7 linked regions of the Ovis aries genome follow. The protein of the gene in region 1 interacts with the protein of each later gene in a pairwise test. Links are inferred from orthologs where the notes say so. Each region holds a gene or a part of one and is shown in the gene's direction. Other genes may lie near its edges.

Evidence for each region.
Region 2: the proteins of CCDC136 (region 1) and ASB7 interact in binary tests that used the Homo sapiens proteins (3 or more experiments, as listed by UniProt). The two-hybrid records come from large-scale screens. The link is inferred for Ovis aries from reciprocal best matches to the Homo sapiens genes CCDC136 and ASB7.
Region 3: the proteins of CCDC136 (region 1) and NEBL interact in a two-hybrid assay, tested with the Homo sapiens proteins (2 studies listed by BioGRID and IntAct). The two-hybrid records come from large-scale screens. The link is inferred for Ovis aries from reciprocal best matches to the Homo sapiens genes CCDC136 and NEBL.
Region 4: the proteins of CCDC136 (region 1) and NDN interact in a two-hybrid assay, tested with the Homo sapiens proteins (2 studies listed by BioGRID). The link is inferred for Ovis aries from reciprocal best matches to the Homo sapiens genes CCDC136 and NDN.
Region 5: the proteins of CCDC136 (region 1) and JMY interact in binary tests that used the Homo sapiens proteins (3 or more experiments, as listed by UniProt). The two-hybrid records come from large-scale screens. The link is inferred for Ovis aries from reciprocal best matches to the Homo sapiens genes CCDC136 and JMY.
Region 6: the proteins of CCDC136 (region 1) and HDAC4 interact in binary tests that used the Homo sapiens proteins (3 or more experiments, as listed by UniProt). The two-hybrid records come from large-scale screens. The link is inferred for Ovis aries from reciprocal best matches to the Homo sapiens genes CCDC136 and HDAC4.
Region 7: the proteins of CCDC136 (region 1) and CDK2AP1 interact in binary tests that used the Homo sapiens proteins (3 or more experiments, as listed by UniProt). The two-hybrid records come from large-scale screens. The link is inferred for Ovis aries from reciprocal best matches to the Homo sapiens genes CCDC136 and CDK2AP1.

Annotation. Positions count from the first base shown.
Region 1 is NC_056057.1:94,459,344-94,463,557, forward strand, and holds the start of CCDC136 (coiled-coil domain-containing protein 136), read left to right. Parts: upstream 1-1,414; 5' UTR 1,415-1,503; coding exon 1,504-1,561; intron 1,562-2,352; coding exon 2,353-2,460; intron 2,461-4,022; coding exon 4,023-4,214. UniProt on the Homo sapiens protein: May play a role in acrosome formation in spermatogenesis and in fertilization.
Region 2 is NC_056071.1:5,418,636-5,422,135, reverse strand, and holds part of ASB7 (ankyrin repeat and SOCS box protein 7), read left to right. Parts: intron 1-17; 5' UTR 18-71; coding exon 72-282; intron 283-3,500. UniProt on the Homo sapiens protein: Probable substrate-recognition component of a SCF-like ECS (Elongin-Cullin-SOCS-box protein) E3 ubiquitin-protein ligase complex which mediates the ubiquitination and subsequent proteasomal degradation of target proteins.
Region 3 is NC_056066.1:21,528,872-21,532,371, reverse strand, and holds part of NEBL (nebulette), read left to right. Parts: intron 1-1,821; coding exon 1,822-1,926; intron 1,927-3,500. UniProt on the Homo sapiens protein: Binds to actin and plays an important role in the assembly of the Z-disk. May functionally link sarcomeric actin to the desmin intermediate filaments in the heart muscle sarcomeres.
Region 4 is NC_056071.1:620,230-623,647, reverse strand, and holds NDN (necdin), read left to right. Parts: upstream 1-1,288; 5' UTR 1,289-1,376; coding exon 1,377-2,354; 3' UTR 2,355-2,918; downstream 2,919-3,418. UniProt on the Homo sapiens protein: Growth suppressor that facilitates the entry of the cell into cell cycle arrest.
Region 5 is NC_056060.1:10,270,318-10,274,500, forward strand, and holds the start of JMY (junction-mediating and -regulatory protein), read left to right. Parts: upstream 1-1,383; 5' UTR 1,384-1,912; coding exon 1,913-2,950; intron 2,951-4,183. UniProt on the Homo sapiens protein: Acts both as a nuclear p53/TP53-cofactor and a cytoplasmic regulator of actin dynamics depending on conditions. In nucleus, acts as a cofactor that increases p53/TP53 response via its interaction with p300/EP300.
Region 6 is NC_056054.1:2,403,851-2,407,350, forward strand, and holds part of HDAC4 (histone deacetylase 4), read left to right. Parts: intron 1-805; coding exon 806-890; intron 891-1,819; coding exon 1,820-1,961; intron 1,962-2,383; coding exon 2,384-2,426; 3' UTR 2,427-3,500. UniProt on the Homo sapiens protein: Responsible for the deacetylation of lysine residues on the N-terminal part of the core histones (H2A, H2B, H3 and H4).
Region 7 is NC_056070.1:52,346,569-52,350,785, forward strand, and holds the start of CDK2AP1 (cyclin-dependent kinase 2-associated protein 1), read left to right. Parts: upstream 1-1,417; 5' UTR 1,418-1,675; coding exon 1,676-1,730; intron 1,731-4,217. UniProt on the Homo sapiens protein: Inhibitor of cyclin-dependent kinase CDK2. Also acts as a component of the histone deacetylase NuRD complex which participates in the remodeling of chromatin.

The DNA of each region.
Region 1 (4,214 bases):
GGTGGGCTGTAGTCCATGGGGTTGCTAAGAGTCGGACACGACTGAGCAACTTCACTTTCACTCTTCACTTTCATGCATTGGAGAAGGAAATGGCAACCCACTCCAGTGTTCTTGCCTTGAGAATCCCAGGGACGGGGGAGCCTGGTGGGCTGCTGTCTATGGGGTCGCACAGTCGGACATGACTGAAGTGACTTAGCAGCCGCAGCAACAGCAGAGATATACAGAAGACCATGTTAACTCCCAGTCTTCAAGAAAATGGGCAGACAGAAAATTGAAAATCTGACCTTGACAACCCTGAGTGACTGGCAATGCCCTAGAGAGAAAGGAGGAGAGGGTGTGTATAATGGGGTGGGAGGGGGCATCAGGAAGGGCTGCCTAGGGATGACTCCCTGCTGAGTGTTGAAGGGTAAGTAGGGGATGTCCAGGTGAAGAAAGGTTCTCCCCTGAAGAATATGGAGGGCTCGTGAACCTGGGAGCCTGTGGCGGTGACAAAGACAATATATGCCAAAGACCTTGTGAGTGGATGGGTGAGAGAAAGGATTGGTGTGTGTCCCTGGCTTAGGAATCTCCCAGTGCTTTTCTGGATGTCCTGGGACGCCCCAGTTCTCAAGTGTACCCATATTTTTCCTAGCTAAGACCTTCAGAGATGTGAGAACAATTGTTTCTTCAAGACCTGGCCCCTGGTAGACGTTCCTTGAATGAATGATGAAGTTAAGTGAAATAAGCCCGCGTAAGTTTCACATCTCCCATTTTTAACTGTAAATCAGCAGTGCCCACCCTGAACAGGCTATGCGTGCATGATGAGTGGGGGTCATTCTCGCAGCCCACCGGGAGTAGGGCTCGTGGGAAGGCAAGCGGTGGAGAAAGGCGGCCTTCGGACACTAAGGACAGTGTAGGGCCACGGAGCCGCCCCTCCTAAGAGGGTCCCTGCTTCTGGCTTGGTGAGGGGCGCACGCACGGACAACAGAGGGATCAGGGCCCCGAGTTCACGTATCCTGGCCTCAGTTTCCCCGCTCCTGCCCTCACGCAGTTCTGGGGCGGGTGGCCGGGGTCCGCGCCGACTGCAGAGCTGGGGGGCGCGCCCTGCGCCATAGGGAGCCAGGGGAGTGGAAAAGCATCCGCGTGTTTGCAGGAAACAAGCCGGGAGGATCCGTCCATCCTTTTGGTTTTCCTGCCTCATCACCGAGCTAGACGGGATCCTGGCACACGGAGCAGAGGGGGTCTCCTCGCGCAGCCGACTCCTGGCTGCTCGCACTCTCCGCGCGGGTCTCCTCCCATCTCCCGCTCGCTCGGCCTCGGGGAACTCGGGAGCTGCGGCGGCCGACCGGCTTCCGGGCGGGCGGCGGCGGGGGCGGTGTCAGGTGGCCCGGCCAGGCCCCGCCCCCTCGGCCGGCCCGCCCTCCCTCCCCTGCGCACCCGGCTCCGGTACCCGGCCTCGCGGCGGCGGCGGCGGCGGCGGCGGCGGCGGCGGCGGCAGCGGCAGCGGCGGTGGCGAGAGCGGCCATGGAGGCGGGCGCCGGGGCCGGCGCGGGCGCCTCGGGCTGGAGCTGCCCGGGCCCAGGTCAGAGCGCCCCTCCTTCACCTCTCCACTGCCTCTCCTTCCTCTTCTCCATCTCTCCTCCCCCCAGACCCCCACGGCCTCTCCCCCCTCCGCTACTCCCCACCTTGACGGCCGAAGTCTTCCTCCTCCCTCCCTCCCGCCCCCCACCCGGGCCCGGTCTCCATCTTTCCCGGCTGGGTCTTCCCCACACCGGCCGCATCCTCCTTGGCATTCCCTGCCCTGAGCCTTCTCAATCTCGACTCTCCAGCCTCATACTGCTTCCAGCCCTAGGGGCTCTATAGATCCTGCACCCGCTCGCACCCCTAAAGCTTCTGAGCGCGGGGCGCGGGTGGGGTGGACGAAGTCTAGGGAGAGATGGAGGGGAGGGGAGGGGGTCCGGTCCACACGACCCCCGCCAGCCATCGCCGGCCCCCTCCCCACCTTCCCCTTAGGCGCACTACCTCACCCTTTCAGCCTCTTTACTTGCTCCCACCCTCTGCCATCCTTGTCCATCTTCCCCCTCTGTCCCCTCTGGGCTAAAGAGACACACACCCTTTCTACCTGTGCGAGGGAGAGGAGCCTGGAACAGAGGTTGCAGAGGAGGATGGGCAGGGCAGGGCGGGGTCCCCAGAGGCCCAGCCTAAGGGGCAGCTTGGGGAGAGGAGTCGCAGTGCCTGGCAGAGTGAGCCAAGTACTTCCACCGGGATAAAAACCCCCAGGGCTCCGAAGGGCTAGAAGGTGTGTCCCTTCCCCTCCCTGCCTCACCCCAGCCACCCTGGCACCCCACAATCCCTCTCTCTCCTTGCTCACAGGACCCACAGTGACCACTTTAGGCTCCTATGAGGTGTCGGAGGGTTGTGAGAGGAAGAAGGGCCAACGCTGGGGGTCTTTGGAACGGCGGGGGATGCAAGCTATGGAGGGTGAGTTTTCCTGTAAAGCTTTCTTTCCTTCTCCCTCACCCAATTTTCCTTCCTCCCTCTGACCCTCCAGAACTCTGAGCCAGGACACACACCTTCCCCCTAGTTCAGCTCAGCACCCGCTAGCCCTCCTCAGGGCTCAGGTTTTGAGGGAAGTTCAAGGTACATCCTTTTGGGGTTCTAATCACCAGCTAACCAGGTTGTGTGTCCCGAGGGAGCTGCCAGACAGAGAAAGAGGCCTCTTTGGACAGAGCTTTGAAGCAGCCTTTCAGCAGGGGGTTTGTTCTCTCTGCCTCCCGACCCAGATCCCAAGCTGTCTCTTATTTTGAAAAGCAGGGAAGTGAGCACGTGAACTGTCTTTCTGGTGCTGCCACCACTGACTTCAAATGGAAGCCTGGTGGCTTTGGTTCTCTAGGCTATCTTACTGCCTGAAAGAGGGAGCCTGGGAAGGGGGCTGCTGAAAAGGCCAACCTCCCAACACATGTGTATTCCCACAACACCCATGCGACTTGGCAGTTGTTGCCAACACCAGGAGGATGCTAGAAGGGTGCCAGTCCTGTTGCCAGGACTTCCCGTGAAGGGTCCCCAGGTCCCTGTGCACATCTAGTGTGGTCAATCTTGCCCCTTCCCCCCCCACCTCCACTGACCCCGGGGAGACAGATGATGCCAGGGGTCCCAGATGAATCTTAGGCTGTGGTTACTGGACAAAACCAGGCCAGAGACTCAGAATTTTAAAACAATTGCCATCCAGATAAGGTTTTGCTATTTAGAGAAACTGCATTGCAGTAAAGGAGGGGGTGCTTGCCAGCCAGAGACTGGGGACCAACACACCCCAGTTTCTTAACTCATTAAAATGGCAGGCTTTCTTTTACACACAAGTACAACCTATGACTTTCCCCTAAAAACTGCCTTGTGGTCAGCAGGGGAGGAAGTGAGACCCCCAGACACTCAGCAGGGAAAAGAAAAGTGGACTTGGTAGAAAATTTCAAAAAGTCTATTCAATGGAATATGTTTGGAAGGGCCCCAGTGTTTGTCCAGTAAATCCTTTAGATCATTTCATTCAGATGTTCTCTTTCTCTGCCTACTGACAGGCAACACTTTCATATAATGGAAAGGCTAGTTTCTCACAAGCCACCTGGATCGTTTGTAAACTTTGTACAAACCCCCAAACTGTAATTCTTGCCCTGTTTGGCTTAAAGACACACCCAGTGTCTGAATCCTTTCTTGACTACTTGTGCCCAGAGACAAGGATAGAAGAAGCAAGGTATCCTTGTGCAAGCCAGTCCCTGGCTGTTCAGTCCACCTGAAGGCAGTCCTTGGAGGCCCCAGAGGCAATATTGGTCCAGGAAGTGCCTGGGAGGGGGATGGATACCTCCAAACTTGACTCTCACACCTCAGGGCCCCTCAGGCATGCAGGTGCTGCCCAGAGGCTCCTTGGGGGACACCAGGTGGCACTATTATACCATCTCTGTCCTCTAAGGACAGTGAGGTGGAGGGCCCTCTAAGGACTGTGTAAGAAAGTTGGCTCTTACTCGCTGGCGGGATGTTGCGGGGGTCTCTCCTAGGGGAAGTGTTACTCCCAGCTCTCTACGAGGAGGAAGAGGAGGAGGAGGAGGAAGAAGAGATGGAAGAAGAGGATGATCCAGGGCAGAAAGGCGGCAACGCAGGCTCCCTGTCGGTTAGCAAGCACCGAGGCCTGAGCCTCACGGAGACGGAGCTGGAGGAGCTGAGGGCTCAGGTGCTGCGGCTGGTGGCAG
Region 2 (3,500 bases), on another chromosome or scaffold:
TGTGCCTACCCTTCAAGGCTGATCCCTGTGACCTAATGAATCCTTTGTAAAAAAACGTGGACTCAGCTAGGATGTTACACCACCATTGTCGAAGGAACCCTGAACTCCAGGAAGAGTTGCAGATTCAAGCTGCAGTGGCTGCCGGGGATGTTCACACAGTGCGGAAGATGTTAGAGCAAGGCTACTCTCCAAATGGCCGAGATGCTAATGGCTGGACCCTGCTTCATTTCTCTGCAGCAAGAGGAAAGGAAAGATGTGTTCGAGTATTTCTAGAGCATGGAGGTGAGTTTACTGGGAGCAAACCTTTTTTCCCCAAGAAGAAACAAATGAAATTCTGTTTAGTTTAAAGTAATGTGTGCATGTGTATATGTTTTTTCTAATACTCGACTTCTTCTTCTCTCCTTTGTTATAATTATGCTGTTTTGTTTAAAACCAGGTTGTCTAAAAAATTGGTTTGATGAATGTGCTTTTTTTCCCCTTGTAACTCTAGTTTCTATATAGCCAGATTTCCCCAGATTATTTCAACTAAAAGCAACCCTTCTTTAGGTTGTCCACTTGCTTTGTTTCAGAAGCAGAAGTGGCTGTGGTCCCAACAACTAAGAATTGCTCAAGTTCCCCCTGTTGAGAATTGCTCAAGCAGACAGAGATACCATAGGCCCCTATAAATACCATGGCCTTCATGATACCCTATCTTTTGAATTTACCTCTTCTAAAAGCATTTTTAGATGCTTTTATTACTGTTTTAGCTCTTGCCTTTTCTAGAATTGTACATAGTTTCTAGATATCCTACAAGATTATCTGAGGTCTAATTTTATATGCAGTTGGAAGCTACATTTACCATTTTATGTTCTTGCTTTGAAAAACTGTCCATTCCCATAATTAATAGTAACTAATAATTGTCTTAAACTCACTTGTTTCCGTATTAGATTTCCACTTAATTTATTTTCCTAGATTTACACTTGTACAAGTGTACAAGATGAACAAACATATTTTTTTGTACTAATATTATTTTCATAAATTATGATGTAAAGCAGCTTAGTTGGAACTCAGGATTCATTATGTACTACTCTAGGGCCTGGATTGCTTATTAACAATCATTTAGTTCCATTTCTGTGCTGTACTTTTGACTAGTCAAACTTGGAAACTATTTTGAAGTACAGAAAATGTTAGAAGTCGCACAGCTGTCATTAGGGTCTTGTGAATTATGTGAAGATAGGAATATGAAGGCTGTGAGCGTGGACTAACTGCTGGGCACTGCTAAACTGAGACTAGGAATCATCACATGTCTTAGTGGCCCTGAAATAAGAATTATGTCCCCAAAATAGTTGGCCATTGACAGGACCCCACCATTCGCTGGCCTGGGCCTCTTTTGTGGCTGTCCTATGCCCCTCCCTGTGGCCCTTGCTCATGCCTCAATTCGCCTTCAAACTTGAAAACGTCAGTGCGGAAGGCCGTGAAGGAGTACTGTATGAGGAATGCCAGAAGAAAGATCTGGAAAAACTAAGAAGTGGGTGTAGAGTCAGAATAGTTAAAATTCTGACACTGCTTCAGCAAAATAAGGAACAGACTCAGATTTTCAAATTCTGCCTAGTTGTGTTACTTTCTGCATCTGTCAGCCTTGCTTTTAACAAACTAATTAAAAAGGAAAGGTCAGTTACTCAGGTAATGTATGAACTTGTCTCCTTAAAACAAATAAAACACAATTTCAAATAAATTATAAATAAAGCCAAAGTCCCCTTTGGTCAGCTCCCAACCCGTGTCTGCCCACCCCTGCCTGGAAGTAACTCATGGCTCTAAGTTTGGTTTGGTCCTATTTTTCTAGATCATTTCCTAACATACTTCTAGAAAATACATCTTATTGTGTTGTCTGTGGTTTTAGAATATAAATTATATACTGACTGTGTTAAAATTCTGCAACTGTTATTTTTTGCTCAGCTATATGTAACTTAAGAATTTTTTAAATGTTAGGTTGGCAGACTTTTTCTGTAAAAGGCCAGATAGTAAATATTTGGGGCTTTGCAAGCCCTTCTTTTTCTGTTGTTAGCTGCTCAGCTCTGCCTTTGTGGCATGAAAGCTGTCATATACAGTGTGAAGGAATGAATGTAGCTGTGTGCTGGTTAAACTTTATCTATAAACACCAGTGGTGTTCTAGATTTGGCCTCTGGGTCCAGTTTGCTGAGCTCTATTTCTCCCCCCAAACCCTACTCTCTGTTTCTGTATATATGTGTATATAGATATTTTTTTAACAGCTTTTATTGAGAAATAATTCACAAACCTTACAATTTGCCCTTTTCAAGTATACAATTTAGTAGATTTTGATGTATTCATAGAGTTGCGCATCTTTCACCACAACCAACTTTGAAACATTTCCATTACCCCGAAAAGAAGTCTTGTCCCACGAAGAAGTCTTGCACCTATCCCATAGTTATGCATGCCAGTTTGTGTGTGTGTGTTTAGTCACTCAGTTACATCCAACTCGCTGTGACACCATGGACTGTAGCCTGCCAGGCTCCTCTGTCCATGGAATTCTTCAGGCAAGAATCCTGGAATGGGTTGCCATTTCCTCCTCCAGGAGTCTTCCTGGCCAGGGATCAAACCCACATCTCTTGATTCTCCTGCATTGGCGACAGATTCTTTACCACTGTGCCACCTGGGAAGCATATATAGGTTTTCTCTGTTCTTTTCAACTGCTCAGTTCACTTCAATTCAGTTCAGTTCAGCAGTCGTGTCCGACTCTTTGCGACCCCATGAATCACAGCACACCAGACCTCCCTGTCCATCACCATCTCCCGGAGTTCACTCAGACTCATGTGCGTCGAGTCAGTGATGCCATCCAGCCATCTCATCCTCTGTCGTTCACTTCTCCTCCTGCCCCCAATCCCTCCCAGCATCACAGTCTTTTCCAATGAGTCAACTCTTCGCATGAGGTGGCCAAAGTATTGGAGTTTCAGCTTCAGCATCAGTCCTTCCAATGGACACCCAGGACTGATCTCCTTTAGGATGGACTGGTTGGATCTCCTTGCAGTCCAAGGGACTCTCAAGAGTCTTCTCCAACACCACAGTTCAAAAGCATCAATTCTTTGGTGCTCAACTTTCTTCACTGTCCAACTCTTATATCCAAACATGACAACTGGAAAAAACATAGCCTAGACTAGACAGACCTTTGTTGGCAAAGTAATATCTCTGCTTTTGAATATGCTATCTAGGTTGGTCATAACTTTCCTTCCAAGGAGTAAGGGTCTTTTAATTTCATGGCTGCAGTCACCATCTGCAGTGGTTTTGGAGCCCAGAAAAATAAAGTCTGACACTGTTTCCCCATCTGTTTCCCATGAAGTGATGGGACCAGATGCCATGATCTTCGTTTTCTGAATGCTGAGCTTTAAGCCAACTTTTTCACTTTCCTCTTTCATTTTCATCGAGAGGCTCTTTAGTTCTTCTTCACTTTCTGCCATAAGAATGGTGTCATCTGCATATCTGAGGTTATTGATATTTCTCCCAGC
Region 3 (3,500 bases), on another chromosome or scaffold:
CCAGACCATCTGACCTGCCTCCGGAGAAATCTGTATGAAGTTCAGGAAGCAACAGTTAGAACTGGACGTGGAACAACAGGCTGGTTCCAAATTGGGAAAGGAGTATGTCACAGCTGTATATTGTCACCCTGCTTATTTAACTTCTATGCAGAGTACATCAGGAGAAACGTCAGGCTGGATGAAGCACAAGCTGGAATCAAGTTTGCTGGGAGAAATATCAATAACCTCAAATATGCAGATGACACAACCCTTATGGCAGAAAGTGAAGAAGAACTAAAGAGCCTCTTGATGAAAATGAAAGAGGAGAGTGAAAAAGTTGCCTTAAAACTCAACATTCAGAAAACTAAGATCATGGCATCTGGTCCCATCACTTCATGGCAAATAGATGGGGAAACAGTGGAAACAGTGACATACTTTATTTTGGGGCTCCAAAATCACTGCAGATGGTGACTGCAGCCACGAAATTAAAAGATGCTTCCTCCTTGGAAGGAAAGTTATGACCAACCTAGACAGCATATTGAAAAACAGAGACATTACTTTGCCAACAAAGGTCCGTCTAGTCAAGGCTATGGTTTTTCCAGTGGTCATGTATGGATGTGAGAGTTGGACTGTGAAGAAAGCTGAGCACTGAAGAATTGATGCTTTTGAACTGTGGTGTTGGAGAAGACTCTTGAGAGTCCCTTGGACTGCAAGGAGATCAAACCAGTCCATCCTAAAGGAAATCAGTCCTGAATATTCATTGTAAGGACTGATGCTGAAACTGAAACTCCAGTGCTTTGGCCACCTGATATGAAGAGTTCACTCATTTGAAAACACCCTAATGCTGGGAAAGATTGAAGGTGGGAGGAGAAGGGGACAACAGAGAATGAGATGATTGGATGGCATCGCCAACTCAATAGACATGAGTTTGAGTAAACTCTGGGAGTTGGTGATAGACAGGGAGGCCTGGCGTGCTACAGTCCATGGGGTTGCAAAGAGTCGGACACAACTGAGTGACTGAACTGAACTGAACTACTGTGTAAATGCTGGCACTCGTAGAAGGCATTGCCTAGGATATAGCTGAGCTCATAATAGTACATTTAGTAGCAAAAGGAAAATTGAGATTTTTATCTCTAGTACAAAATACTAGTATCTTTTCCTTAGTCAAATGTATCTTCTTCTGAAGTAGGAAGCAAAGTATAAATCTAGAAGCATGAAGACAAGTAAGCAAAGAGAGTCAGGTTACTGGTAGGAGTTGTAAGGGCTATTTTGAACAGGAACTGGAACTGCTCATAAGAGAGTAGGTTCTAGGCTTAGGACTTCCGTAGAGGTCAGGCTGTCCCAGGGTGTTTGAATAGTCTTGAGTGGGAACCATTGCCTGAGAGAAGGTGAATGTGTTTTCCTAGACTGTTTGCTTACTCTGTTTGCGTATGCTGTTTATTTTTACTGTTGCATAAATACATCATAGAGTTGGATAAGACTGAGCGACTGAGCTCACACACACAAACACATCAACAACTGATTTGAATCCTAAGGTATAATTTAGAACATGTGGGCTTCCCTGGTGGCTCAACTGGTAAAGAATCCACCTGCAATGCGGGAGACCTGGGTTCGATCCCCAGGTTGGGAAGATGCCCCGGAGAAGGGAAAGGCAATCCACTCCAGTATTCTGGCCTGGAGAATTCTATGGACTGTATAGTTGCAAAGAGTCAGACACAACTGAGGGACTTTCACTTTCAGATATGGCAGAGTTGGAAAAAGTAGTACCATTTTCTCTTTGTCTCTGTCTCTCTTGAATGTGGCACACAGAGTTTCAGATTCACATTCAGTTTATATTTTTAGAAAAAGTATAAAGATGAGGCGGAGAAGATGCTTTCTAGCTATTCTGCTGTGGCAGATACTCCTGAAATTCAGAGAATTAAGACAACTCAACAAAACATTAGTGCGGTGAGTAGCCATTGTCTCTTTCCAGTTGTCACCTTGAAATGATGTTTTGAAAGGGGGCCTTTGTTCCTCAGTCTGCTTTTTTTTGCTGCCTTGCTCGAATTTTCTGTCAAATGCATATCTTTCCTTCTTTAAAATCATTAGAACACCAAATGTTCTTACAACTTATAATTTATCATGATTATTTTAGAATTACAGATTCATATTTCCTTTTTAGGTACAAGCAACAGCTCCTTTTAACCGAATTTTAAAATTTCACTCAGGAAAGAGATCTTAATTTTACACACATATTTTACTTTGAAGATAAAAATAGTCATATGAAGTGATTGCCTTCCTGGTCATTGATTAATTGCATTGATAATATATCTAGGGATTTACTAGTTTGTAACCAATTCCTAAGGGCTTCCCTGGTGGCTCAGTGGTAAAGAACCAGCCTGCTGATTCAGGAGATGTGAGTTCAATCCATGGGTCAGGAAAACCCCATGAAGGAAACGGCAGCCCACTCCAGTGTTTTTGCCTAGGAAATCCCATGGACAGAGGAAACTGGTAGGCTACAGTCTATGGGGTCGCAAAAGAGTTAGAAACCACTTAGTGACTAAACAACAACAATTACTTCCTAAACGTTCATATTTTTGTTTTGAGGAATAGGAATTTTATTAGCATCATTGATTAAGATAGTGGGCATATATATAATGGGTATATGAACTTGAATTCTAAAATAAAAATTGATGGTACAGCCAATATTTTAACATAGAATTAACTTAGTGGTTAAGCAAATGTTATTAAAAATATAAATTCTATTATTTTTGAAAATTTCTGTAATGTTTTCTACTTTCTAATAAGTGGGAAACCTCTTAACTCTGCAGGTATGCTGTTCAGGTACCTCTAGGGTCTTCACAGGCAGGCTGTGCCAAGAGATGTAGAAATCTTGCTGGAAGAGAGGATGAGGGAGAAGAGTTGTGTGGCCCTTACCGCCTGTGATTCCAGATTTCTAGCTTTTGCAGGAGAACATCTCATATGTCCTGCCCTCCTGACCCCCGCTGGGATCTACTGGTTAACAAATATCAGGAGAGTGAACCCAAAGGCGGTGTCTGTGACAACCTAGAGGGATAGTGTAGGGAGGGAAGCAGGAGGGGGGTTCAGGAAGGAGGGGTCACATGTATGCCTATGGCCAGCTCATGTTGATGTGTGGCAGAAACCATCACAATACTGTAAAGAAATTATCCTCCAATTTAAAAAATAATTAAAGAAGAGAGGGAGTAGTTCTGGCCTCGAATGACTTCCTTATAATTAGTCTGTTTTTCTGTAGGACACTTTGTTTTTTTCTTTTGCTTTGTGGTCAAAAGGGGTAGGTGTTGGTAGGGATGGAGAGATGTGGGAAGGTTTAAGGAATAAGTGGAAGATAAGGAAAACAGGCTGACTTAGTGTTGATGCTGATGGTAAAACTAATATTTTCTTTGAAGTGAACAAGACTGTCTTTGCTTTCACTTGAAGAAGAGCAGTTGCTTGAAACTTCATGCTATTTTTGAATTAAAGGGTAACTGCTTAGTGAGCTTTTGTAATATGTCCTTTAATTT
Region 4 (3,418 bases), on another chromosome or scaffold:
CCCAATTTTTTTTTTTAAAGGATGCACCTCTGGGACTGTCAACTTTGTTTTTGTTGACAGTCTCAAACAAAACTGCAGATTTGGTTTCTAAATTTGAAAACTGATATACAACCACCAATTGTTACATCTCAAATCAATTGTTATCTGGGAAAATTTTGGGGATCTAGGTTAATTTAAAAAAGAAAAAAAAAGTATCTTGGGAGGGATTTGCATGTGATACTATTCAGTATCTGTGGAAGATGGGGATGTTGTGCTCTAAGAAGGTGAAGTTTCCACAGGAAGAAAAGCGGAGGTTGAAACAGTCATAAAGAAAAGGAAGGTCCTGGAAAAACAGGCGGAAAGACATCCTATGAGTCTATGCTAATATAATCTTTGTGTGAGGGGATTCTAATGAAACAAAATTTACATCAAAATTATCCAATGGAATAGAAAAACCAAAATCAATGACCATTAAAACACTAACAAAGTCATTATTATATTGCCTTCAAGAGAACTTCGATCACACTCGGATTGACAACATTCTGCATTTCTTGTTCAAAACTCTTCCATACGGTAGGAAATCAATGAATTTTTGTTGTTATTCTTCAGAATTCCAATTTGTCCAATTAGTTCTCCTGGTGGCTCAGAGGGTAAACTGTCTGTCTGCACCGCGGGAGACCTGGGTTCAATCCCCTGGAGAAGGAAATGTCAACTCACTCCAATATTTTTGCCTGGAAAAGCCCATGGACATAGGAGCCTGGTAGGCTACGCCCATGGGATCGCAAAGAGTCGGACATGACTAAGCGACTTCTCTTTTTCAGAGTTGACATATTTTCTTGGGCAATCCTGGCTGTTCTCTCAGTTTAAATTCTCACACTGATCTGAAACCTAGTTGACACACCAGCCTAGTTCTTACTCTTGGATTGATCTCTAACTTGATTTTGGATATACCTAATCAAATGCTTCCTAAGAAAGTTCAGTTTCAGCATTTCAGAAGCTTAAATTGCCATCTGTCCCTTAAACTGACTCCTTGTCCAGTGCTCACCCATCTCCCTCCCCTCCTCCTCAAGAACTCCTCCTTAGCCATAACAGGATACCTGGGGAGGGGGTGTGATCACTGAGGCCCATATTCTAGCGGACCCTCTATGCTTACTGGGGGCCTCCTAGCCCCCTCCTGCAGCCCACCAGGAGCCCCGCCCGCCAACTCGACTGCCGGGCCCCAGGCGCGCGGACGCGCAGGCGCATTGGCCCGGCCCGCCGCCGCCCCGCCCTGCCTGGCCTCTGCGGAAGGCGCCGCGCGCAGCAATGCGCACTTCCTCTCCAGGAGTCCGCGGAGGGAAAGCAGACTCGAAGAGCTCTCGGACTCGGCGGCCCTGCTCTTGCGAGACCGAACAGATATGTCCGAACAAAGTAAGGATGTGTGCGACCCCAACTTTGCGGCCGAGGCCTCCAACTCCGAGGTGCACGGCAGCCCCGGCATTACCGGGGGGCCCTCTCCTCCGGGGTCTCAGGCCGCGACACTCACTGAGCCAGAGCGCCCTCCCTTAAGCCCGCCTGATGCCCCTCTGGTCTCGCTGCCTTCCCAGGCTCCAGGCGAAGAGGGAGACCCGAAGGCCCTGCAGCAGGCCGCTGACGAAGGCCGTCCCCACCAGGCCCCGAGCACAAGTCAGCTCAGCCCGGCGCCCCCGGCCCCGGCCCAGCTGGTGCAGAAGGCACACGAGCTCATGTGGTACGTGCTGGTCAAGGACCAGAAGAGGATGATCATCTGGTTCCCAGACATGGTGAAGGATGTCATCGGCAGTTACAAGAAGTGGTGCAGAAGCATCCTTCGGCGCACCAGCCTCATCCTCGCACGCGTGTTCGGGCTGCACCTGAGGCTGACCAGCCTGCACACCATGGAGTTTTCGCTGGTCAAAGCTCTGGAGCCAGAGGAGTTGGACAGGGTCGCTCTGAGCAACCGCATGCCGATGACGGGCCTCCTGCTGATGATCCTGAGCCTCATTTACGTGAAGGGTCGCGGCGCTCGAGAGAGTGCAGTCTGGAACGTGCTGCGCATCTTGGGGCTGAGGCCTTGGAAGAAACACTCCACCTTCGGAGACGTGAGAAAGCTTATCACCGAGGAGTTCGTCCAGCAGAACTACCTGAAGTACCAGCGCGTCCCCCATGTCGAGCCCCCTGAGTACGAGTTCTTCTGGGGCTCCCGTGCCAGCCGCGAAATCACCAAGATGCAGATCATGGAGTTCCTGGCCAGGGTCTTTAAGAAAAACCCCCAGGCCTGGCCTTCCCGCTACAGGGAGGCTCTGGAAGAGGCTAGAGCCCTGCGGGAGGCCCACCCCACTGCCCACTGCCCCCGCAACAGTGTCTCCGAGGACTAGCAAGGTCTGGAGGCAGATGGAAGTTTTCTGCCCCTCACCAGGGTGGAGGAAGGGTGGGAGTGTGGGACGTTAGAGTATTCAGGATCTACAGTGCAGTATTTCACGTGTAACTTTTAAGTTTTCCATACAGTGCTTTTATACCTCTTAATGCAATGTTGTGTTCATTTCAGTAATATTAGTGTATAGGATTCATGCATGGTTGTTTGTAATTAAGCTCAGTTGGTGCTTTCGCTTTTGTGCTACCTTTCTTGAATTTTTTGTACCAGAGACATGCTAAACTTATGAAATACACTGAGGCATTTTCCATATTCTTTTACGTGTGACGGAGGCTGTGTATTGGGGTAAATTGGTCTTGCAGAGTTTGGAAAAACTCCCCAGAAAAGCTGGCCTAACCAAGAGAAAAGTTGACCCCTGTCTTTGTGCTCTGCCTGGGCACGGGAAACATCCCTGTGGAGTTTGGTGATGTGAACTGAAACAGACTCAATGTGGGCACACTTTACTAAACACAGATACAACCTCACCATGAGTAAACTTTAAACATTAAAGATTCTTGTGATACAGTCATTCATGGAAAAAGTGTACTTTATCTTCTTAACAGAATATTATGGGTTTGGAATGGGAATTACAAAGTATACAGATATAACTATTTCATCTAATAGGACGGGGATGTCAGTACTCATCATGACTCATAAATATGTAAAGGGCATAGTTTTATTTTCAGGAAGGAATTCACAAGTTCATATCAAAGCTTTGACAAGTAGAAGTGCAAAAACCAAAACAGGGGTCATAATCACATTATATAGAAATAACAAATGCTGATATTTAGAGTAATTGCCCCTCTTACATTTTCCATATTTTCTAAAAAATAATAGCTGTCTTTTGTGGGCACTAAGAGAGGCCTTGTACTAAACCCTTACATATATTTTCTCTCTTTAATCCTCACAATAGCCTTGTGAAGCAGGCACCGTGGAGGAAATACAGAAATAAAGCAGATAATTAGCTTTCCCTGGATCATAAAGGCTTCCTGGGAGGAGAGGCTTAGTTTTAGGGTTTGGACCCAGACT
Region 5 (4,183 bases), on another chromosome or scaffold:
TACATGTAAATAAAAATACTTCTCATAAACATACTTTTGAGGTTCATTCTTAGTATTTTTACTTATCTATAATGTATTATAAGAAGAGCTATGACCTATCATTTTTTATCAGAAAAACTGTTAGCAGTAACTTTTCTGCAGAAAAGAGGAAATTTTTCTATAATGTGCTATTGTTTGCTTAGCTGGTGAGCAGATTTGAAATGGATTTTCTCTGTTTCTTACTGCCTTTCAAAAGGTGTATTTCTGACTTGCATTTGAGAATTACCATAAATTGTTACAAGCTTTGAAAACATATGGTTTATATATAGAACTGTAAAAAGGTTCAAAAACCAGCCCTTTTCCCTTTTAGCTCATCCTTCCCCTTTCCTATGGTCAAAGCAGAAATATAGGTCTAAAATGTCCAATTGACTGATAGGGCTAAAGCTCTCGGCTGTTTATTCAGATGTCGGGACAAAACTGTATGGCTAACAATGTAAGGTTAATCCAAATGGTCTCGCATATATTTTAGAAATACGGATAAAAGCAACAAATAATTCCCATTGTGCTTTACTGTCAATGCAGAATACCTGTAATATGGATTGGATAGTAGCAGGAAAGAGTATGTGAATAGATTATAAGACCAATGAGGCAATTTTAAGAATGTGTTTCATCATAGTTCAGTATAAATAGCATAATTCTTCAGAATTACGTGATTTTTTTTTTTTGGTATGTGGATTATGAGAACTTTGATAATTGAATACAATTTCAAAAGGGCTCAAGTCGGTGACCTCAAAACGAGGTTCACAGAACAATACACAATGATGAAGCCAGAAGCAATAAAACACTGAAGAACGGAGACGTAAGCATACTGGTAGGACATGACTGAATGTTCACTTATTTTGCTTTGGAGTTTTCCTGGGTTGTCTTCAGACACCTTCCCTTTGTATCTGACAGTGTATCGCCAAGAGTGTTAAGGGGAGAACCCAACAGTCTAGGGGATCCCGACAAAGCTTAGCACACAGCTCACGTAACGTCACGGCGTACTTCCTTCTGAATACGGGAGTTATCCCTCCGAAATGGAAGGAAATGTACACTTGAGAGTCCCTCTGAATGACTGGAGTTCAAAAATGCTCAGTTCCTTCGCCTTTGTCCTTCTCTCCCTGGGTTTGGAGGCCACCTGTCCCGCAGGTCATACCTGCCGTTCTCACTGCGCGGCTCACCGGCTCGGGACCCGAGCCTGAGGAAGAGGAGACTCGCGCGCGCGGCCGCGAGCGGGCGGGGGCGGGGGCGGGAGACGCGGAGGGGCGGGGCCGACGCGCGCGAGCGAGGTGTGCGCGCCGCCGCCGCCGCGTCACCAGCGTGCGGCACGTGCCCGTGTTTACGTCCCTCGTGGAGCCGCTACGTCAGCAGCCGAATGGCAACATTGTGGCGATACTGAGGCTCCGCGCTCAGGAGACGCGTCCCTTCGTCAGGCCAGCTCCAGGCTGTCGGGAAGAAGAGGAGGAGGGGCACGGAGATCCGCCAGGGCGAGCGGCGGAGGCTCGCAAGCTCAGGGCCCCGACCACCCACCCGCCCGGCCGGCCCCGCGCCACCCGCGCCTCACCTCCGGGGCGCCGCAGACTCAGCCCGGCGGCCTCGCTCGGGGGGCGGCCCGGGCGGGCGCGGGGCTTGTAAACAGACCCAGCCGCACGTGACCATGTGAACTACCTGCTCCGGGGACGCGCATTGTCTTTCCCGCGAGCCGTGCCACAAAGGAGCGCGACGAGTCCGAGGACGGAGAGACAGGCGAGCGAGCGGGGAGAGCCGGCCGGCGCGCTAAGATGGCTGAAGGCGCCCGGCGAGGGTGAGTGGGGGGCGCGGCGCAGCCAGCCGGCGAGTCCTCCCGCGGGCAGGGCCAGCGGCGCCTTCCCCGCGGCCTGGCGCCGGAGCCACCATGTCGTTCGCGCTGGAGGAGACGGTCGAGTCGGACTGGGTAGCCGTGCGGCCCCACGTATTCGACGAGCGTGAGAAGCACAAGTTCGTCTTCATCGTAGCCTGGAACGAGATTGAGGGCAAGTTTGCCATAACCTGCCACAACCGGACGGCCCAGAGGCAGAGGAGCGGCACCCGGGATCAGGCGGGGGCGCGAGGCGGTGCCGAGTCAGGCGCGCTCGCATCCGACGGGACTCGCGGGCCGGGCAGCCCGGCGGGCAAGGGTCGGTCCGAGGCCACTGCCTCCGCGACTCTGGGCAGGAGCCCCGGGTCCCGGAGGCGCCCAGCCTGGCCAGAGGGCAGCTCTCCGCGGAGCGCATGCAGCCTTCGAGGGGACCCGTCGCTGCGGAGTCCGGCCGGCAAAGGGGCGGAGAGTCCTCTCCGGAGCCCGGTGAGGGCCAACCACAGCCCGGTCCGGAGGGCCTCCGGAGGCAGAGATGTGGCGGGGTCCGCCGCTGCGGCAGCCCCTCCGGCGGCCAAGGAGGCCCCGATGTCGGTGCGGGTAGTGAGCGCCTGCGGGACGGTCACCGAGGAGATCGAGGTGCTGGAAGTGGTGAGGGAAGATGAGGCGGACCCGGCGGCGCCGGCGCTCTCGGCCGCGGAGCAGCCACCGCCGGCCGCCGAACTGGAGTCTCCGGCCGAGGAGTGCAGCTGGGCCGGGCTCTTCTCCTTCCAGGATCTGCGCGCCGTGCACCAGCAGCTGTGCTCCGTGAACTCGCAGCTGGAGCCGTGCCTGCCGGTGTTTCCGGAGGAGCCGTCGGGCATGTGGACGGTGCTGTTCGGGGGCGCCCCGGAGATGTCCGAGCAGGAGATCGACACGCTGTGTTACCAGCTCCAGGTTTACCTGGGCCACGGCCTGGACACCTGCGGCTGGAAGATCCTGTCCCAGGTGCTGTTCACCGAGACCGACGACCCGGAGGAGTATTACGAAAGCCTGAGCGAGCTGCGGCAGAAGGGCTACGAAGAAGTGCTCCAGCGGGCCAGGAAGCGCATCCAGGAGGTAAGGACCCGGTCTAGGCTCCACGCATCGCTTTTGGCTCCACGCTGCCGCAGACTGGAGCCTCGGTCTAGGTTGTGCGCATTTGGGACTCTTGTTTTCCTAGCCAAACAACGGTACAGGAGGGGGCCCTGACCTTTCTCCCCCTTCATTCCTCTCAGAAGTGGGAAAAACCATGGCTTTCTTTAATTTGGCCTCTGAAGGAACTTGGGTAAACCTTTAGATATCTCCTCCTACTTATATAAGTTCTAGAAAATGCTCTGTTTACTACTAAGTAATGGTAGAAAGATTAAAGCCACTCAGAAGAAAGATGTCCCATAAATATAAGCTAAGTGAGTGATTCTCTTTGTTCCTAAAGTTCTTTCCAGCAATAATTGCCCGGATCATTAAACTTACTTTCCTGGTGTCATGTTCGTTTATTGAAAATGATTTGTCTTGTGAAGTAAAACTGGTCCGTTTTTTTGTCTCCAAATGTAATTTGGCAACTTTGGCAAATTTTAAATAATTTTTCTTCGGATGAGAGGCCTGTCCAAATAAAAAGCCCCTATTGACAGTTGGATACATACCTTAGGAATATCTCAAGCCTTTTAAGGAGGGCTGATGTTTCCCTTGTTTTAGGGAGGAAAAAGGTCTTGGATAGAAATGTTTATTATACTTTTGCACTTGACTAAAAGTAGTCCAGGCGCTTATTTTCAAACGAATCCTTAAAATTCCAGGAAATAATGGGAAAAGGTCTGAATGGTTATACATAGAGAGCTCTACGATGTGTAGGATGTATAATTGGAGGTCATGCGTACTTAAGAGCCTCTGCCGGAAAACTACTAAAAAAAGTATTCTCGGTCTCAAAATTATTATTTTTAGTATTAGTACCAATTGAGGTTGGAGTTGGGTTGGGGAAATGCCTCCTTTTGACGTGCTTATATTCTTTGCCTGTGTTTACATACTACTGGAATCTTGGGAGTATGTGCCAGGAAGCAGGAACCTCCTGATTTCTTCATAGAATATTCTCTATTTGGGATTTAGGAAGTAATTCTTCCTCACTTACTCCACAGTGCTTTCTTAAAACCTGGTGACTCCAGGTTTTCACTTCGTCCTGTTAGATAACTTGATGCTAAACATCACCCATCATGATGTGATCCCATAGTTCTAGGGATCTCTTTTTATTTCCCTTTTTATCATCTCACTTCTGGAGTCTTTGTTCTATTAATACCTTCAATCATTTTTGGAAGGAAGTGA
Region 6 (3,500 bases), on another chromosome or scaffold:
CCTCCCCACTCCACCTGCGGCAGGGACTTCAGGGAGAGCTCGGAGCAGAGATGCTCACACCCTCTGTCTACCTTTTCTCTGATCATTGGAAGAAAACCCTGAAGGGCAGATGTGCTTGTCGCTCAGTTGTGTCTGACTCTTTGTGACGCCCTGGACCATAACCCGCCAGGCCTCTCTGTCCATGGGATTTCCCAGGCAAGAATACTGGACTGGGTTGCCATTTCCTCCTTCAAGGGATCTTCCTGACCCAGGGATCAAACCCACATCTGCTGCTTGGCAGGCGGATTCTTTACCGCTGAGCCACCAGGGAGGCCCAAAGTGGGGATATTCAAGCCCTGTCTATAAAACCCTTGTTGACAAGTGTGATGAAACTGATGTTTCCGAAAAGTCATCATCCCTTCCCCTGACGCTGTGCCGTGCATCCAGCGGTGGAGCCCATGCTGCCACCCCTCTGCGCCAGCTGCCTCTGGACACCAGCTAGTGTCCTGCCCACACGGGCACCCACGAACGTACCCGAGAGCCTCCTAGGGGAAACACCTTAAGGAAAATAAGTTTACTTCTGTGAAAACATTTATGTAATGCCACAACCACCTCTGGCTTTTTCAAGCTGTCTTCTCTGTTAGCACGTGCACGTGAGGAAGACACTGATCTGGACGTCCCATCTGAACACGCACGGGGATTCTATGATCCGGACGTCCCATCTGAACACGCACGGGGATTCTATGATCCAGACGTCCCATCCAAACATGCACAGGGACTCTACTGATGGCCTCGAACTCACCGTGTATTCTTCTTTCATCCCCAGCTCGATCCTCTCCCAGAAAAGGTCTTACAGCAGAGACCCAACGCCAACGCCGTGCGGTCGATGGAGAAGGTCATTGAAATCCACAGTAAGTTGCCTGGCCCAGGGCTCAGCAAGGAGACCCCCCCCAAGGGAGGGGCCCGACTCCACAGCCCTTCTCCCACCCCCCATACCGCCCCCACCCCCTGCTTCTCTCTCACTGCCAGCAGCGTCCCCAGGCCCGCCTGTTGAGACCTGGCTTTCAGGGCGAATGTGATGAGCTGGTGACTCTCCTCTCACCCCGCTTGACGTCCCAACAACCTGCCACAGCCAAGTCACCAGCTCTGCTTTGTGGGGCAGAAGCGCTGTGGTTCAGGGGGTGTGTGAGGTCCCTTCTCCAGGCTCCCCACTGACAGGCTGGGACCCGCATGGAAGCCTGTGTCCTCGGGTCTGGCCTCTGCCCTTGGACCAGCAAACCCCACTCCATCAGTTCAGGGTACCCTTGGCCCAAAGACCAGCCCTGCCCCTCGAGCGATGGGGCCCAGGAGCCCAGGGGCTGCACACGGACTTCTGCCCCGCCTTTATCCTGGGTCTGCGGGGTGGCCCAGTCGCCAGTGTCCGTGTCCATGGGCGGGACCCAGGGTCTCCTGCTGTGCACTGAGCTCCTGGCCTCCTGAATGAGGAGCCCTGAGGCCCAGGAGACACCGGGAGGCTGCCTGCTCCCACCCCCATCATCTCGGGACTCCAGCAGGGAGTCAGGGAGTGCTCGTCCCAGCCGCCCCACCCTGAGGGAGGGACCCTCCCTGGAGCCCACCCCCACCCAGGTGTCCTGCCCCTGAAGGGCCCAGTTCTCCTGGTCACGGGGAAGCTTTTCCAGACTGCCACCCTCTGTGAGTTTCTAACCAGGCCACCTCGTGGCTTCTGTCTCTGGAGAGCGTGGTGCTTTGGAGTCACCAGCGATGGGTGCTGCTGGAGCCCCGTGGGCCCAAGCACAGGGATGGGGTCCCGTATCTGAGCAGTCACCCGCCCCTTCCGCAGGCCAGTACTGGCGCTCCCTGCAGAGGCTCGCCTCCACCGCTGGCTACTCCCTGGTCGAGGCCCAGAAGTGTGAGAACGAGGAAGCCGAGACTGTCACTGCCATGGCCTCGCTGTCTGTGGCCGTGAAGGCCCCTGAGAAGAGGTGAGCACGGACACTGGCCGGCGGTGGGTGCTGCCGCCATCTGCGGGTGACCCGGGTCTTTGCTCCCGGGTGTATTGGGGGCACGTGCTAGCTCAGCAGGGCGGGGAGTGGGTGAGCTCAGCAGGGCCTCACCCTCGCCCCAGGGCAGACTGCACCACACCTCTTCCCAGAAGCAAGAGCCTGAGAAAGACTTGAAGGGCGTCTGGGCCAGAAGGAACACTTCCCTAGGGGAAGAGTGGGGGTCGCTGAGAGTTGAGGGGGCGGGGGTGGCTAGGAGTCGGGGCGGGGTAGCTAGGAGATGGGGGTGGAGGTGGCTCGGGGTTGGGGGCGGGGATGCCTCGGAGTTGGGGGGCAGAGATAGCTAGGAACCTTGCACATCCACCCTCTCCTCTGTTGCCACCCCGCCCGCCCGCCCGCCCCAGCAGACCCGACGAGGAGCCCATGGAAGAGGAGCCGCCTCTGTAGCCGCTCCCGCAGCTGCGGGTCTCTTGTTTGTCTGTCTCCGTCTTGAAGCTCCGCCGAGAAAAGTTGCTGCCGCCCTGCGTCCTGCCGGCCTCCTCCGAGCCCGCGGGCGCGGCGGGGCGAGCCGCAGCCGGCGGCCCTCTGCCTGCCGGACCCGGGCAGACGTCGGGACGCGCCGACACACGGACGTGCGGGAGCGGGCGCTCCGGGCCCCGCAGGGCAGCCGCGGAGGGAGGGAGCCCGCGGGGGCTCGGGGCAGAGCCGCCTGCCGAGCGAGCCGACCCGAGGAAAAGAAAATGAAAATCAAAGATCTCACGACACAAAACAAACTTGATTAAAACTGGTGCTTACGGTTTGGTGATTCCCCACAATCCCACAGTCTCCGTGTAAACCACTCAACTCATTCTGTAGCTTATTTCTTTTCAGAGAAGAGTCAGCCGCTCCGGCGCTGGCCTGCCCCTGCGCACCGCGGGTGCGCGGTGGGGCTGGGACACGGAGCGGGCGAGCGTTTAAGGAAAAAAAAAAAACTGGACAAAAGCAGAAATGTGAGCCCGTGCGGCTTTGGTTTCTCAAAGCCGACGGAAGATGCGCGTTTGTGCCTTTTTTTTTTATTGCTCTGATGGATTTTTGTGGCTGGGTTTTCCGAAGTCCGAGGAACAATGCCTTAAGAAAAATAAACAGCAGGAGTCGGTGGGACCGCTCCCTGTGGCCGGTGGGGCCGGAGGCCGGCTCGCACTGGCCTGGCGCTTCACAAGTGGTCCCCGCCTCGGCCAGCAGCTCTGGAGGGCTGAGGTCCTGCCACCCTGTTTCGCTTTATTGCTGTTGAAGAAAAATGGAGGTAGTTCCAAAATAGTGGCAAATACTGTTGGGGGTTTCGAAGTCCAACAAATTTTAAATGAATCCAAAGTGTTCTTTTTCTCGTACATCATATAACAATTGAGCATCTCCATTTGGTTGTGAAGCATGTCCTAGGCACACTTTCAGTGTTACGATCGGAATGCTTTTTATTAAAAGCAAGTAGCATGAAGTATTGCTTAAAATTTTAGGTATAAATAAATATATATATGTATAATATAT
Region 7 (4,217 bases), on another chromosome or scaffold:
CTATTGTGGCTACCAAACTGTTGAAATGTGACCAGTCCCAATCAGGATGAGCTGTAAGGGTAAAATACCCGGTGGGTTTTGAATATAGTATCAGAAAAAGAATGTAAAGTATCTTAATAATTGCTTTATATTTATTATATATTGACTTAATACGTTATATATTTAAATCATGTTAAATAAAAAAGATTAATTTCATCAGTTTTTACTTTTTGAAATGTGATTATTTAAATTGTTAAAATATATATGTGGCTTGCAATACTTTTCTATTGGACAGTGCTACTCTAGAGTATTGGTCCCCTGAGAGCAGGGTAGGAAAAGGATGATATTAATTTACCCCCGAACTAACACTTCGCTGAACATCCTTGACGGAACCAGCCTAAAGCTGATCACAAGCGATCCTGGGAAGAGGGGTGTCGCTTGTACCTTCACTTCTAAAGGAAGGAGGGAGGGAATGGGTGTATCCTTTACCTCTGGGGCAATAAGAATTCTCACTAGATCCAGATGTATCTGAAAGTCTGTAGCTAATAAAAGATATTTGCAAAGCAGGGCGATTAAAAATGGCAGAAAAGGGCGGGCATCTTGTGTCTTTTGAGAAGATTTACTATTTAAGGAGAACTCCAAGAAATAATACCTTCAAAAGCTTCATCATCTGATGTAAAATAAATTTCATGATTGCAATTCAGTCAGATTTGAGAAGTGGGCTGTGGTGGGGTAGGAAGAGGGTCAAAAATTGCAATGTAATCTCCAGGAGAGAAGAAACTTGGTCAAGTTTATTCTTGTCTTAGCGCCTAGAACAGTGCTCGCCACACAGCAGGCGCTTTTTAAATATTTGAACGAGTTAAGATGCAAAATTAGGTGGATGAGACGGTGTGTTTTTCGCGGGAGGAGGCCTTTGGCTTTTGTCCAGTGTCAAAGGAGTCTAGGCCGCCAAGGGGTTAACAACCACTTAATACCGACAGGGACGTGAAATTTATTTGAAATCAATGTCAAGAATTGGTTGATCTTATTCTGGGGAGAAGGCAGACCTCGGCGTCTGGAATGATCTACGTGCTTAAAAATACCACTCGCCACCATTTTCTCCAGGTAATTTTCCATCCCTGCCCCCACAGTCAAGGAGGGGGGGGGGCGAAAAAGTAATTCCGCAATCCTACCTAGCTTTAGAGAAAAAAAAAAAAAAAGAAAAAATGAATCGGTACAGCAACAAATCTCCAGGCATCGCCAGCGCAGCAGAAGAAGGGGACCCAGGTGGGCCTCGGGCACTGCCGGGACCCCAGCCCCCCAAACTTTGCCAAGTTGCGGGCGCCGAGTGCGCCCGGAGGCGCGGGGCGCGGCCGCGGGCGGCACCGCCCCCTGACGCCCGGCCGCGGCGCGCCGGGCCGCCCCCTCCCGGCCCCGGCCGGCCCCGCTGGCTCCGCTCAAAGTTTGCGGCCGCCCCTGCGCCCGCGCGCCCGCCCGATGTATGGGTGATATACTGCAGCGGGTGTCAGGGTGAGGGACGGCCATATTTGCCGGTGCGGCCCGAGCCGTCAACAACAAAAAGTGCGCGGGAGCTCGGCGGGCGCACGGACGGGCGCACGGACGCCAGGACCGCCTCGCCGCCGCCGGGTCTCGCCGCCGCCGCCGCCCTCGCGGGCCGGGCCCCGCTGCGCCCCGGCGCGCCCCGCCGCTCGGGGGGATGTCTTACAAACCGAACTTGACCGCGCACATGCCTGCCGCCTCCCTCAACGCCGGTGAGTGAGTGCGCCTCGCGGGCTGCGCGCGCCGCGCCCCAAGTGCAGCCAAGTTGGGGGCTCGCGCGCCCGGCCCCGGCCCCGGCTCCCGGGAGCCCGCGGCGGCCGGGGTCGGCGGGCACCGGGTCCCGGCCCGGGGCAGCGCGGCCGCCGCCGCCATGATTCCGGCGCGCGCGCTGCCAAAGTTCGCGGGTGCGACCCGCGCCGCGCCGGGCCTCGGGTCGGGCCGGGGCTGGGGCCCGGGTCGCGGGCGGCCGCCGCGGTCCCCCCCACGCCGGCGGCCCCGGCTTGTGGGGAGCGCGGCGAGCGAGGGCGGGGGAGGCTTTCTCGGCTCCTTTTTCCTCCGGCTTTTGGGCGGCTCGGCGAGGGCCCCTGCCGGCGGGAATCGGGAGCGGCCCGGTCGCGCCGGGAGCGGGGCGCCGGGAGCGGGGCGCCGGGAGCGGGGCGCGGGTCCGCCCTTGGGGACCTGAGGGGCAGGCCCGGGCGGGGGGTCCGGGAGGCAGGGGTGCACGTGAGCAAGGCCGGGCCACGCGCAGGCGGCGCTGCGGGGCGGCGAGAGCGCCAGGTTGCAGCCGCTCCCGAGGGCGCGGGGCCGCTGGGGTCACCGGCGGTGCAGGGGAGGTGGTCTGTGGACGCCCGCCCGGCCTGGCGTGGGGGAGCAGGTGCCCAAAACGGGGCGCACGGGAGGTCCCCTCAGGCGTGCGCGAAGTGAGAGAAGTTGAAGAAGACCGGGGGCTTCGGAGTTGCCTGCAGGCGGAGGGCGGGGGAGGCATTGAGCCGGGGTCCCGGCTTGGAGCCCCCAAGTCTAGGTTTAGAGGGGCCTCCTCCAGGAGCAGTGCTCTCCGTGTGCTGGGGCTGAAGCTGGGCGGTCCCAGAAAACTCCTGCATAAGTTGTCCGGAAGCTTTAGGCTGAGTCTGGGGGTCTTGCCTCAGAGACCGGGGCGGGGGCGGGGTGTGTGTGTGGCAAGGGGGCACGCGGGATGTGTGTGGCTGGTGGTAAAATTTTGTGGGGTTCGTAGGTGACTGACTGCCCCCTCTCACCGAGGTTCTCCTTTAGACTCTTGGTGGGAAACTTCCAAAAAAGCGAGGTGCATGGGGGTAGGGGTGGAGGCAGGGGCTTGGCAGGAAGGAAATGGGCCTCCCTGGTCAGAAGTGCCACGCTGGCAGTTGGCCGAAAGTTTTGGGCCTTGTCTTCTAATGTTAACTCGATAACTCCAAAATCTGAAGGGCGCCCCAGAAAAGCACTAAGTGTATGTCCATGTACGTATATACCTATACGTAGGTGTATATATGTGTGTGTGTGTTTAACTTCTTGGACAGAGATTTGGGGATTGGAAAGGGTTAAGATTCAGGGTGTGGATGGCTGTGGGGGTAGATAGTTTAGTTGGTCAAGTGTGGGCTCTGTCTGAGCCCCAAGAGCAAACGGCCCCTATTTTCAGCTGAAATGTTCTCATCTCTCGGGTCTGCACACCTTAAGAGGCAGGCTTTGTGGCCAATGTTTCTCACTGCCTCCCTCATCTGACTCTGGGGTGGGATGGGTGGAGGGTCTTGCCGCCGGCCCAGGTGGGCAGGAAGTCTCAGGTTCCCCTGGTGCAGTTGAGGCAGGGACCCTGAACCTGGCCCTTTGGGGACTGGGGTCCCAGAGGGAGCAAGCCACCCGCTTAGGCACCCTGAAGCCCTGCTCTGGGCTGGCTAGCACCTGTGCCCAGATTGTCTTCCTTCTCCTGTGGTGAACTCCAGGAGGAGCGCTGAGGTCTCCAGATCTCTGGTGTTCGGGTGAGGGGCCACCTGCCCCCTGCCCTGAGCGTGGACCCCTTTAGAAAGCCCGCATCTCCCTGAGCCATTTGCATCCAAGATGGACTCTCCACTGCCGCTCCTCCGGCTTCCTTGTCATCATCCCTCACGCCCTCCAGCCCTGCCTCCTGCTCGCGAGTTGCCAAGCCGCGGCCTGGCCGGCGGTGGCAGTGGCGGAGTTAGACAAAGCCCCCGCCTCCCCGCCAGAGAGCCCCCCCAGGCGCCCCAAGTGGCGGGAAGGCCGCCAGCTCCCCAGGCCCGGGCCGCTCTTTGTCTGGCGTGGGGGCGGGGAGCCGCGCCTGGCCCCAGGAGCTGCTGGCCTTTGCCAATCCCTCCCTCGGCTCAGGGCCCTCCCTGGTCCCCGCACACTGCGCGCATTGTCTGCGATGCTCTGAGACGACCGTGCTCACGCCCTGTCTGGTTTTCTCCTTGGCCTTGGGCAGCTGGACCGCCGGCCCTCCCTGTGTCTGCAGGAAGCTGTGGGCATGAGTGGAACTTGGGGTCCCTGCGCCAACTCTTCCCAGGGCCACAGGCACCCCCCTCTGAACACTGAGCAAAGGACTGGCTCAGAGTCGGGTCGACTACCACATCACCCAGGTGACAGGCAAATCAAGCTCTGGGCTCTTGCCTGACTTCTCCACACTGCTTCCACGCCTGCAACCCATTCCTTCTCCCTCTCTCAGGAACTAACCC